3 linked regions of the Cricetulus griseus genome follow. The protein of the gene in region 3 purifies or fractionates together with the protein of the main gene of each other region. This does not show direct contact. Links are inferred from orthologs where the notes say so. Each region holds a gene or a part of one and is shown on either strand. Other genes may lie near its edges.

What was found.
Region 1: the proteins of Pidd1 (region 3) and Cradd purify together in Homo sapiens (affinity purification with western blotting; 8 studies listed by BioGRID and IntAct, with this or other methods). This does not show direct contact. The link is inferred for Cricetulus griseus from reciprocal best matches to the Homo sapiens genes PIDD1 and CRADD.
Region 2: the proteins of Pidd1 (region 3) and Ripk1 purify together in Homo sapiens (affinity purification with western blotting; 3 studies listed by BioGRID and IntAct, with this or other methods). This does not show direct contact. The link is inferred for Cricetulus griseus from reciprocal best matches to the Homo sapiens genes PIDD1 and RIPK1.

Annotation. Positions count from the first base shown.
Region 1 is NW_023276806.1:161,323,211-161,326,855, forward strand, and holds part of Cradd (death domain-containing protein CRADD), read right to left. Parts: intron 3,150-3,645; exon of another isoform or gene 3,021-3,149; intron 3,001-3,020; exon of another isoform or gene 2,714-3,000; intron 2,661-2,713; exon of another isoform or gene 2,387-2,660; intron 1,953-2,386; coding exon 1,649-1,952; intron 1-1,648. UniProt on the Homo sapiens protein: Adapter protein that associates with PIDD1 and the caspase CASP2 to form the PIDDosome, a complex that activates CASP2 and triggers apoptosis.
Region 2 is NC_048596.1:253,842,879-253,847,049, reverse strand, and holds the start of Ripk1 (receptor-interacting serine/threonine-protein kinase 1), read right to left. Parts: upstream 2,937-4,171; 5' UTR 2,799-2,936; intron 2,662-2,798; exon of another isoform or gene 2,507-2,661; intron 1-2,506. UniProt on the Homo sapiens protein: Serine-threonine kinase which is a key regulator of TNF-mediated apoptosis, necroptosis and inflammatory pathways.
Region 3 is NC_048596.1:59,739,553-59,743,642, reverse strand, and holds the start of Pidd1 (p53-induced death domain-containing protein 1), read right to left. Parts: upstream 2,817-4,090; 5' UTR 2,488-2,816; intron 2,482-2,487; exon of another isoform or gene 2,334-2,481; intron 2,040-2,333; 5' UTR 1,964-2,039; coding exon 1,654-1,963; intron 1,219-1,653; coding exon 805-1,218; intron 496-804; coding exon 286-495; intron 203-285; coding exon 148-202; intron 56-147; coding exon 1-55. UniProt on the Homo sapiens protein: Component of the DNA damage/stress response pathway that functions downstream of p53/TP53 and can either promote cell survival or apoptosis.

The sequences.
Region 1 (3,645 bases), on a different chromosome or scaffold from region 3:
TCATTTTTGACACCTCCCCAACTCTATGTTATATACTCTGCTTTTAATAAAGTGGTAGGAATGCCTAAGATATTTACCCTGGTTTAGTTCAAACACATGGAATATGTAATTTTCTAAAGACAACCCAAGCTGAAAAATTCTAGAGGCCCTCAAAAGCCAGCATTTTCACTGTTTGAAGAAGACATGTAATTTGGACAAGTTAGGAATAAAGATATTTTTAGGTTTCCCACTAAATGTTTACCAGGTCTTTCTAAATTAACTGGATGTCCCATACTGGTCAGATATCCAGATATATGTCATCAGTGAAAAAAGAATTAGTTGTGATTACTTAGTACATGTGGTCTTGAAATCATTCAAAATATGAGACCCATGGTGTAAAAAATAATAGAAGTAATTTACTAGTAGCATTTGGTTTCTTTAACCAGTTAGTTATGTCTCACCATGTAGCTCTGGCTGTCCTGGACCTTGCTCTTTAGACCAGGCTGGCCTCGAACTCACAGAGATCTACCTGCCTCTGCCTCCCGAGAGCTGAGACTAAGGACATGCACTCTGTTACAGTTATTTAAAAAAATAAATAAATAAATAATAAATAAAATAAAAAAAAAACAATAGCAATAAATTCTGAAGACCACTGACTTGGTCCTGTATCTTTATCAAAAATTCAGAAAATGTTGAATTCTTAACTCTGGAAATATGCTAACTCAGTTTGGATCAGCTGACTTCGTCACCTTTCAGTTATCTTCTTTAAAAAAAAAAAAAAAAAAAAAAAAAAAGTAGCCTTTCTAGGTCAGCCCTCTGTTCCCCAATCATTGTAAACAGCAGTATTTATTAGAGGACTTAAAGGGACAGCTCTATACACACACACACACAAACACACACACACACACACACACACACACACACACACACACACACAGCTCCTTCCTCACGACCAGCCTTACAGCACCAAACTGTTTCTTTTAAAACCCCAACTTCCAATTCTTCTTGAAAAGGAAAATGATATTCTCCCCCAAATTACTGCCCTTGCAAAACAAAATGCCCCAGGTGTCTGATGTCCGAACAAATCTTAACTTTAAAAGGCCATGTTAATCCAATAGCCTTGGGCGGGAGAGACCAAAGCAAGCTTCAGACTAATCCTCTAGGCCTCACAGGCTGGCTGAAGGAACAGGTGCAAGGCATGCCTTCCTAGAGGCTGTCTCCATGATCTGACCTTCTCCAGCTGGCAGCTTGGCACCCCACAAATCAGTTATCTATCAGAAGGCCAAAGCCTGGTTTCCCCATCTGCACTTCACAAATGGCTCCTGTTGCCAAAGGGCTCAGATTGACCTGGCTCTCCTCGGAGAACGCAGAGAACATGCCTCACAAGTAACTTGCCAGGTTTCCCTGGAAGCAGATCTAAATTGTCCTCTGAGCTCCCTCCTTAACCTCCCAGACTTATGGCTCACCTTCCATTTCTGGCCTCCCTTGAGTTTCTTAACACCACCTCCTCATGTTTGCCCCTCCAATGCCATGTTCTTTCCGTTCAAATTCCTTGCCCATTTGTTCAAGAGCCAATAGCCCCCGTCCCCCTTAACACCCAACTTTCAATCCAAAGGGCACAGTTTGGACAATTCCAGAGCTGTTTTGAAGTGATCTCTTTCAGGCCTACCTGTAGGGAGCTCAGTTGTGGCTTCATCTCTTGCCTTCTCCAGCTTCTCTCTTACCCAGGGAAACTCCTGGAGGGAATCTAGGAAGGTATCAAACGCTTTGGGGCCCCTGGAAGGCAGGATATCCAACAGCAGCATTGTTTTCCGGAGGCCTGTGGTTTGGGCTTTGATTTCTTGAACATGGTTTTCTGTCAAAATCCCTTCCTGGTAGAGGTACTGCAGGACCAGTCCCTCCACCAAGACCTCCGCACCCAGCTCCAGACGCAGAGAGCGGAGCACTTGCTTGTCTCTGGCATCCATTTCTCCCTGGAAAGAAACAAAATCAGCACTCGGGTTACAGGAATGCTGATGGACCCCCTAAAGATAGTGTTGCTGCAACATCATTAGTGAGCATCTCAAGGTCAGTCAGACGTTCATATCACTGTGCCAAGCCACAGTGTTTCCTACATGGCTGCTAAACCGAATCAAGTTCATTTCAAACACTTCCCAGCATATGGACAACACTAATTATGAATCCATTTCTCCCTGCTTTCCACATAGCGGGGTCCTACTACAATTCCTTTCAGTAAGAGAGCCAACAGAAAACAGATCTGAGACCTTACTTAAAATGCAATCCCTGGAAATTAATTTTAGCATGCTAGGGAAAAAATGGATTTTAATTTAATATTAATTTCATCGTTCAATCCAGCACCCACACTGCAGTAACTGCTAAAATGGCCAGGGGCATTATAGACCCTTACCTCGAAAGAGGGGTAGGGAGGTGGAGAGTAGGGGAGCGGGGTGGGGAGGGCAATCTAGACATCAGAATGAGTTTAAGGATCTTTCTTTCAGAAAAGACCAGCGCGTTCAAGAAAGTATTTGTGTGCCTTTTACAATTAGCCTTATTTACAGAAAGTCACAGGAGGGAATGCAGGACCTGGGTCACAGTGCAGTATGGGGCGTTTAATGAGCACAGGTGGCTGTGTGGTGGCATTGAAGGAAATGGGAGGGGAAAGAGGGGCCAGCATGGGTGTCGGGTAGGGTTTCGGACGCCCGCGGAGCACAGAAGGGGGACACCGGATCCCAACCTTCCTCACAAGCCTCCGCAAAGTCCTGAGGTGGCCGGCGGGGAGGGGGTGTCCACCCTCCGCCGCGTGTTTCCATTTGGAACTTTCCCTGTCTCGGCAACTGAGAGCCGTCGCTGTGTCACACACGGGAAGCACTCCCGGCGATGCTCGGGGTACAAGAGGCCGCGCGATGATCTTCACGGGGGAAACCGCCACCCAAAGCCTAGACTAGCTCGGGGACCAGAGCCAACTGAACCGAGAGAGCCGCGCAGGGGCGATGTCGCCACAGCGCGGGGATTTCGAGAGAAGATGGAGTCCTGCTACTTACGTCTGCGACCACGTATCTTTAAAAAAAAAAAAAAAAAAAAAAAAAAAAATCTACAACCGGAATCCAGACTGTTAGGGATCCTGTACCGAAAACACCATCTTTGTTTCAGGCAAAAGCCCTGGACAGGAAGTATTGTAGCCATCTTTGTTGAGGGCAAGATCAGGAAGTGTGGTAGCCATCTTTGTTGAGGGCCCATGAGGTCAGGTTGAAGCTTTTTCTACCATGTTTGATGTGGGTAAAAGAGACAACCTCTTCTAGATTTAAAAAAAAAAAAAAAAAAGTAATTTAAATAACATAAGGGATTACCTTAGTGAAAGAGTAAATGAGTCGTTGAATCTTAACACAAAATCTCCATGAGAGCCTTGCACATAATAGGCAGGTCAAAAGTTACAGATTAATTTTGTAACATGAAGTGATTAATGAGCTCATCGATTCATGTATTGGATGACATACCAAAAAAAGATATAACTGCTAATTTTTCTATTATTATGTAGTGTGTGGTGTGTGTGTGTGTGTGTGTGTGTGTGTGTGTGTGTGTGTGTGTGTGTGTATACATGAATACAGGTCTCTATGCAGGGCCGGAAGAGAGCATCAGATCCCCTGGGTCTGGAGTTACAGGAAGTTT
Region 2 (4,171 bases), about 190 Mb from region 3:
AGGGCTAGGGAAGGTGGAGCTAGGGAAGAAGGCGGGGCTAGGGAAGGCCTCTACTATGCTTTGGGAACATGGTTCTGGATCTAAGCCAGTTTTTCCTCTAGTCTTGTGCTTTATTAGTCTAGTCTGATCTTAGCACAAATCCTCCTTTGGTGGATATTCAATTATTTCTTTCGTGCTTTTATTTTTTTCCCCTTGAATGATTCAAGTTTATGCTGCTGTTTTCTGGCAGGCTGGAGACAGAACCCAGGGCCACACACATGCCAGTCAAGTGCTGTGCTGATGAGCCCCAGTCAACTTATAAGCAGTGTATTTTGAGAAAGCCATGTGGGCAGTGTACTGAGGAAGACCCAAGGACTGCAAAAACACTGAATGTAAGGTAGAAAGCCAGATAATCAGTGCTTTAAAAATTAACTAAGGTATGTTGACCTGTTATAGAAAGCCATAACTAATTTCAACTAATACCATGTCCTTTTCAATGGGATTTGCTAGTGTTTTGGGATAAATGATTATTAATGCAGAAATAGGATATATATATATATATATATATATATATATTAAATAGTATTACATTTGAAAATATATAGTATTTATTTATTTACTATATTATAAATATAGTACTATTTATAAATTATATAAATAGTAAATATACACTATTTGAGTTCAAGCTTACTTAGTGAATTCAAGGTCAGTTAGGACTACACAGTGAGACCTTACCTCAGGAAATGTGTGTGTGTGTGTGTGTGTGTGTGTGTGTGTGTGTGTGTGTGTATACAAACCCCCCCCCAATGGCTGGACTCCCTTTAAACCCAATTAATTTTCTCTTAAATTTGCAATGACAATCATATATAATAAGAGCAGGAGGACAGAGAATCAGGGAATGAGAGAATATCAATTGAGTATTGTTTCCCATGTCTTCCCTAACAGAATTCTGACTTTACTCAGGTATGTGACACGATCAGGAGCCATCTCCAGGATTCTTTAATTAAAACAGTCTGTGCTTCGTCCACAAGCAGGGCAATGAACAAGGAATCAAACCATCAACAAAAGACAAAGTTAGAATAAAATTCAATGAAGCATGATCAAATACATTAGCACACTGTGACCCGTGAACTAATCTTATTAGGACTATTTTCACCTTACAAATAAAGAAACTACAAGTTGAGGTTAAGTGATTCACCTGAAATGAATGGATTCAAACCTTACCCTTCTCAGACTTCCACTCTCAGTTCTCTAATACATGCTGCTTTCTAGAAAGTCAAATAAAAATTTGAAAACCCCAGATGTAGATCAAACCTCAGATGCAAAGACCGAATTGTTGCCAGGCACAGTGATACATGCCTTTAATACCAGCACTAAGGAGGCAGAGGCAGGCAGATTTCTGGGAATTCAAAGCCAGTCTGGTCTTCTACATAGTTAGCTTTAGAATAATAAGAATTACATAAAGAAACCCTGTCTCAGCTGGCGTGGTGGTGCACACCTTTAATCCCAGGACTGAGAGACAGAGGCAGGTGGATGGATCTCAGAGTTCTAAGTTTGAGGCCAACCTGGTTTACAGAGGGAGAACCAGGATAGCGAGGGCTACACAGAGAAACCCCTGTCTTGAAAAACAAAACACACAAAATTAATATTATCCATGTCTTCACAGTAAGACACATATGCCAGAATAATATCCAACCAAAGTGTGGGAAACTATACTTTTTGATTCAATTCCAAGATTCTACTGGTGATATTAACATGTTATGAACTAATAAGTAGTAGAACCATTCCCAGTTTGCAACAGTCATGAAAACTTAACATTATGTACAAGGCTCAAAACAGGAAAGAAAGAGAAAAATGAAAATTAAAGTTGGTAACTGTTACTGCTACTTTTCAGTAATAAAACAAAATAAGTTTCATTTTAAACAAAACTAGTCTTCATTTTTTATATACAGCAAAGCCTTAGTGGTGTCTTCCCAGTGGGTACAAAATTACACGACTAAATCATTACATCTCAAAGTTCACACTGCCATTGAGTTTTCATGAGCTAAGAAAGAATTAATAGCTTTCTAAAGATTGAAGGACTTTTGTGGAATTTCCTGATTAAAACAGCCTCACTCTGCCCCAAATAAATGAGCAAGGAAATCAAAATGACCTACAAGAGGCAAAGAATGAGCCACCCTGGACCGAACCATCCAACCCCAGGAGGCTCTGTCCAACACCGGTGGAGAGGATGTGGCTTATCTTCTTCAGAACCCAGAGGGGGCTGCAGCAATCCACAAAAGCAAACGCCACTGAGGACCAGAGGAGCCTTGGACGTTTGACACTGTTCTCTCACTGAGGACGTGGATCGCTCCTCATTTGCTAGCTCACCTCTGAGATAATGATGAAAGCTACCCATAGCTCTGCAACCCCCTGCGGCCGAAGTACAACGTGGTTGGCAGGTCCAAAACATTTAGGCAACCTTGTTAGAGCACTAACGCTTCCATAACCCATCACCCCTACCAAAAGAATAGTGAAAGAGAAACACCTGTCGCACTGTCACTCCACAACCGTGGTCACGGCGCAGATGTCCACTTTCTGTCGCGACTTGAGCTAAAACCACCTCAAAAAGAGTTCAACCTCCCGCTAGATGACACCCAGCAACTCCCGCGCCTTTCGACTTCCGGGTATGCTGGCGGCCCCGCCCATCACCCGCTTCCGGAAAACGAGGCCCGCCCTCCGGCCCACGCGCTGGAATCCCGCGGTCGCCGCCCCTTCCGGGAAGCCAGCTGCGGAGGAAATGAGCGGCGGACCCTGCCGCGGCCTCCGCGCTGCCTTACCTCAGAGTTACTTTCCTTTTCCGCGGCCAGGCACTCCGGCCCAGGTGAGCACACCGACCCGAGGGCAGGGGCGACAGGAGCTGCGCCTCGCCGTGGCTGCCCAGCCAGGACGGCTCCTGGGCCGTGCGGAGGACGCAGGGACCGAGCTCGGTGCAGGAGTGGCGCCCAGCCGCGCCCAGGCTCACCGGACACCGCGCTTCTCTGAGCGCCCGCGCGGCCCTGCGACCCCCGCGAGGTGAGCGGCACCGACACCCGCGCTCGCGACGCCTCTCCGGGTCCGCTCGTCCTCCTACACCGGAGCTTCGCTGGGTGGGGCGGCGCTAGGCTGCGTCCGCCTCTGTCTCCGCCTCTGCTCACGCCCCGGGGCGGTGAGTGCGGCAGGGCCCGCTGGGCAGTGAGTTCCGCCGATCACGACGGTTCCCACGTCGATCCCGGAGGCCTGCCCGCGGAAACGATGCCAGTTCTGCTTTGCTTTTCGGCTCGTTCTGAGAGAGCCCTTGAAAAGAGGTGCTCCTAGCTGCTCTGTCAGGGCTGAGTCACCCTGGCCAGCTGGAAAACACCGAGTGCGACAGTGGCGATTGAGAGCTGGCAAATGAGCCTTCATCTGCCACGGCGGGCTGTGGAGGACGAAATGTGATTATTTTGTAGCCCTCTGAAATGGTAATTGTGAAATCTCAAGGCCAAAAAAAACAAAAAGTGTTATTACTGGTGTCATTAAGTTGCACGATAATGCAATGATCACTTATTCTCAAAAGATAATTAGTGGAAAGAGAGAGGATTACAAAAGACATGATAAAGAAGTCTTACTAATGCATGCACACAACCACCATCTTAAGAAAATTCACAACCATTTTAACAGAAACCTAAACATGCAGATAACATTAAAAAGATGTTCAATGTCATAGGGCATTATGGGAAACTCACCTTTGACTCAAAGTAAACATAAAATGCCCAACATTCACAAATGGAAGGAATACAGAATGTTACCTTTACGGTTACTGTGTGACTTAGCAGTTTCACACACTGGCATGTACCCAAGTGAACATAAATTTGATGAACAAACACATGTACCTAGGTTGAGCTTTTTTGTTGTTTATTTGGAGGGGCTTGAGGGTGTGTGTGCAAAAGTGCGCATATGTGAAGGCCAGAAGACTACCTCCAGTATCTCCCTCTAAGTACACACCTCTTTTTTTTTTTTTTTTTTTTTTTTTTTTTTTTTTTTTTTTAAAACAGGAAAGGACTCACTTACCTTTCGTTTGTGTAGTAGGCTAAGTATTCTGGTTAGTGAGCCTCAAGAACCTGCCTGTCTTTGCATCTCTGGTCTTGGCATCATGAGTGTCACCATGGCCAGGGTTTTTTTTTTTTTTTTTTTT
Region 3 (4,090 bases):
GAGGCGGACACCACAGGCCAGGGTCACAGAACAGCCATGGGGAGTCACAAGGAAGCTGAGTGAGGAAAGAGGTATGAGGGCAGGTACCCCGATGTGGCCAGGGAGACAGGGTAGACAGATGTCTTCTAGCCACCTTCCCACCGATACCTGTCCAAATCTGAGGTCAGGAATAGCCTGGGCATTTCTGGAATCGGGGGTACGTCTGCACAAGGGACAGGCATGTGGTCAGAATGATGAAATGCCTGCATCCTTTCATAGCCTGGCCACGCCCCTTGCCGAGCCTACCTGGGGGACTTAGGGGTGCTGGAGAGGCCTCACCCAGAGGGTTCCCCTGCAGGCGGACAAAGGGAGCGTCTAGTAGCTCTTCAGGCAGGTCCCGGAGCTGGTTGTCCCTCAGGTCAAGCCGAGTGATCAGTGGCAGGTGGGCCAAGCCAGTGGGCACTGAGGTCAGGAGATTGCTGTGCAGAACAAGGAGCTGCAGAGACCGCAGCCCCGCTGCAGACAAGTGCTGGCTTAGGGTTGGCAGAGGGCTACTCATGGTGGCCCTGGGCACCTTGACAAGACACTCACACTAAAGGCTTCAGGCTGTGTCACATGGTGGGACAAAGATGAATGTGAACTACCAGCAACCAAGGAGGCAGAAGCAAAGTCAAGGGGCCAGCTGGGAGCAGTAAAGTTTCATAGGCCAAGCCAGCCCCAAGACTTTAGGGCTACAGGGACCCACGTGGGAGTGGAGGTCTGGGCAGTGGCCGAGGGGCACTCTATATTAGCTGGTGAACCAAAGCTGGTACCATGGCTACTCACCAAGGGAAGCCGGGAGATTCTGTAGCCGGTTGGAGGCCAGATTGAGTTCAATGAGGCTGCTCAGGTCTCCAATCTCAGAGGGTATGGTGTCTAGAAGGTTCTCAGAGAGATCGAGACGCTGAAGGGTGGACAGGGACCCCAGTGTTGTGGGTAACCTTTCTAGGCAGTTGTGCCTCACAGAAAGGAAAGTAAGGGTGGGCAGGGACCCCAGAGCCTCCGGCAGCTCTGAGAGACAGTTGTGAGAAAGCAGCAACGCATCCAAGCTGTGCAGTTCCAGGATGCAGGTTGGCAATGTCTCCAGTCTGTTGAAGCTCAGGTCCAGATGAGCCAGGCAGGTCAAGTCACTCAGGCCAGCAGGCAGAGTGGTCAAGGTACCATGGAGGCAGGCACCCAGGGCACCCCGGCTCTGGCCCCCTGGAAGTGGGGGAGACAGCTGTAGCCCTCAGAGTTGGAGTCTTAGTTCAGCCCCGATTGCCAGAGAAAGCAGAAGGGAGGATGCTTCCCTTTGAAGCCAGCCACAGGGACAGAGAAAGACAGAAAAGCAGACAGAAAAGACCACCAGTTCATATCAGATGACAGTATCACCCAAGTACAACTGGGATCTGCAGAGACCCAACTGGGCACCTTCATTGTCCAGACTCAGGAGACAGAGCCCAGTCAGCCTTGCTTTGGGGAGGAAGGTGATATAGCTGAGGACAGGGAACAGGGGTGGGGTAGGGGTTCACCCCTGAGGTGCAGGGAGAAGAGAGGTCTGGAGTTAGGGCTGGGGCAAGATGGCCTTTGTGGACCAAGAAGCAGACTTAAAGCAGGGCTAGAGATGAAGATAAGGTCAGTAGTAAGGTTACTCACCTTTGAGGACCAGGGAGCGCAGGTGCAGCAGACTCCACGGAACCTGGGCTAGGGTGTCATCTAGCAGTCCGGGGTCCTCGTGGGTACTGAGTCGCAAGAACTCCACCCGCAGCAGCTCTGGGGGCTGCTGGGAACACAGGTACTGCAGCCGATGGCAGCCCCCTGGACGTATGTCCAAGTTCAACTGGTTCCCAGCCAGGAGAAAAGGTGCCCCAGGCCTGGAATCCACAGCCTCCACAGCGGGTCTTGCAGCATCCTCTGCAGTAGCGGCAGTTTCCTTCGACTCTAGCCCCTCCAACACTGTAGCCATCACCCATGGAAGGTCCTCGGGGACCAGACATGTCCCAGCTTGCCAAGCGAGCCTGCTCAGGCAAGGCTGAGAGAAGCTGCAGAAACAGGGGGAGGAGTGAGCCGTAGGGGGCCAGTTCCTTCTCGGATCAGAGTAACAATAACTCAGCCTCGAAGCAAGGAGCTCTTGAAACCACCCGCCCAAGAAACCGAGGTATAGAGCGGAGTGGCCACTGCAGCCCTAGGACCTACATCTGTGCTGTTAATGAGAACTGGATCTTTCCGCCCGGGAGGGGTACCAGGCAGGGAGACTCTGTGAACAGCTAGACAGAAGAACTCTGCTAGATCAAGGACAAGGGTAATATTGCATCGTGATCCCTGACACCACCTACAGGGCTGTTGTAATAAGGGTCCACCTTCAACCTTCACACTCATTAGTTTGGGGAGGACCCTCTTCCAGTGCAGGCTTCGCTGTGTATGAGAGAGTCAGCAAACAGTGCGAACCGGAGCCAAGAGGACTTTGGGGTCCCGGGGCTCGGATCTCACATTGCGGCCCCTAGAAGAGGCTCTGGCGCCACAATTCCCAATTCACACCTCCGTCAAATTGGGGAACGCAGAGAGGGGCTTCTTTGACGTGCAGTCACTTTGGTGCCGCCTCTGCAGTAAACTTCCCGCCGCCCTCTGAGTACCTTCCACGATGATCTCCGCGCCTCCACAGGCGCGCTCCACGCCGGCTTCCCGCCGGCGCGCTTCCGGGCGGGCAGCGGCTCGAGCTCCGCCCTTCCCTGCTGGCCAGTAGGAGCTCCCTGGAACTCTTGACTCCCGCCTCCAGTTCGGTTGCCCTCACTAGGGAGGCAGGCGTAACGCGTGGAAACTCACACTTTCAGACCTCCACAACCTGAGACCTGCTGTGGCACTGCATAGCCTGGGCCCCAAGTACATTCTAAGGCAGGGATTTGGGGGAGAACTTAGAGAATTATTGCACTCTTTGTTAAAAGCTAGAACTCTGAATGCCCGAAGTGCTGCTAGCACCAAGGGCTTCCTGTGAGAACCCTGTAGGACAGCCCCTCTCAACTTGTGGGTCGCAACCCCTTCGACAAACCTCTATCCTCAAAACATTTACATTATGATTCATAACACTGGTAAAATTAGAGTTATGAAGTAGCAATGAAAATAATTGTCACTATAACACGAGGAATTGTATTAAAGGGTCACAACATTGGGAAGGTTGAGAACCACTGAGTCTAGGACTTCCTTCCCAGGCTCTGCAGTGAATGCCAACTTGTTTGAGCTTGGATGCCCTCCTCACTGAACATCACTCTGGGTCAGCTGCCTAGACAGTGAGTGAGCTTTCTGGCTTTGCATCTCTGAATCCTGTGGATCTCACAAGAAAAAAGAAAAGCCAAAAAATAAAATAAAGTTGAGATAGGACATCTTGCCTAAGTCCTTTAATTGGCAAACATCAAAACCAACACTCAGCATCCTCAACAGAGTGGTAGACTGGGAATGAACAAGTGGAGAGTTTACACTCTATGTGATGGGCAGGCTCCCTGCTAGACCTCCCTGCTTCTATTCTTTCTAGCACCCTACCTCTTTTACACTGTTTCCATAAAGCTGCCAGGAGGATCCTTATAAAAACCAGTTCCAGGAGCTTAGTATAACTGTGCTCACCTGCAAACCCAGTACCTAGCTGAGATGGGAGGACTGCCATCCTGGGCTGCACAGCAAAACCCTGTCTCAAAATCAATAATTGTAGGAATATTACTTAACTTTAAACTTGTAATCTAGGCATGGTGGTACATGCCTTCAATCTGCAAAAGTGTTCTTTACCATTGAGCCATCTCTCCAGCCTTGCTGCGTTTTAGAGTTAAAAAAGAAAAAAATCGCACTCAGGAGGCAGAGGCAGACAGATTTCAGTGAGTTCGAGGCCAGCCTGGTCTCCAGAGCGAGTGCCAGATAGGCTCCAAAGCTACACAGAGAAACCTTGTCTCAAAGAAAAAAAGAAAGAAAGAAAGAAAGAAAGAAAGAAAGAAAGAAAAAATCACACCAAACTCTCTGAGTTTGAGATCAGCCTGGTCTACAGAGTGAGTTCCAGGACAGGCTCCAAAATTACAGAGAAACCTTGTCTCAAAAACAAACAAACAAACAA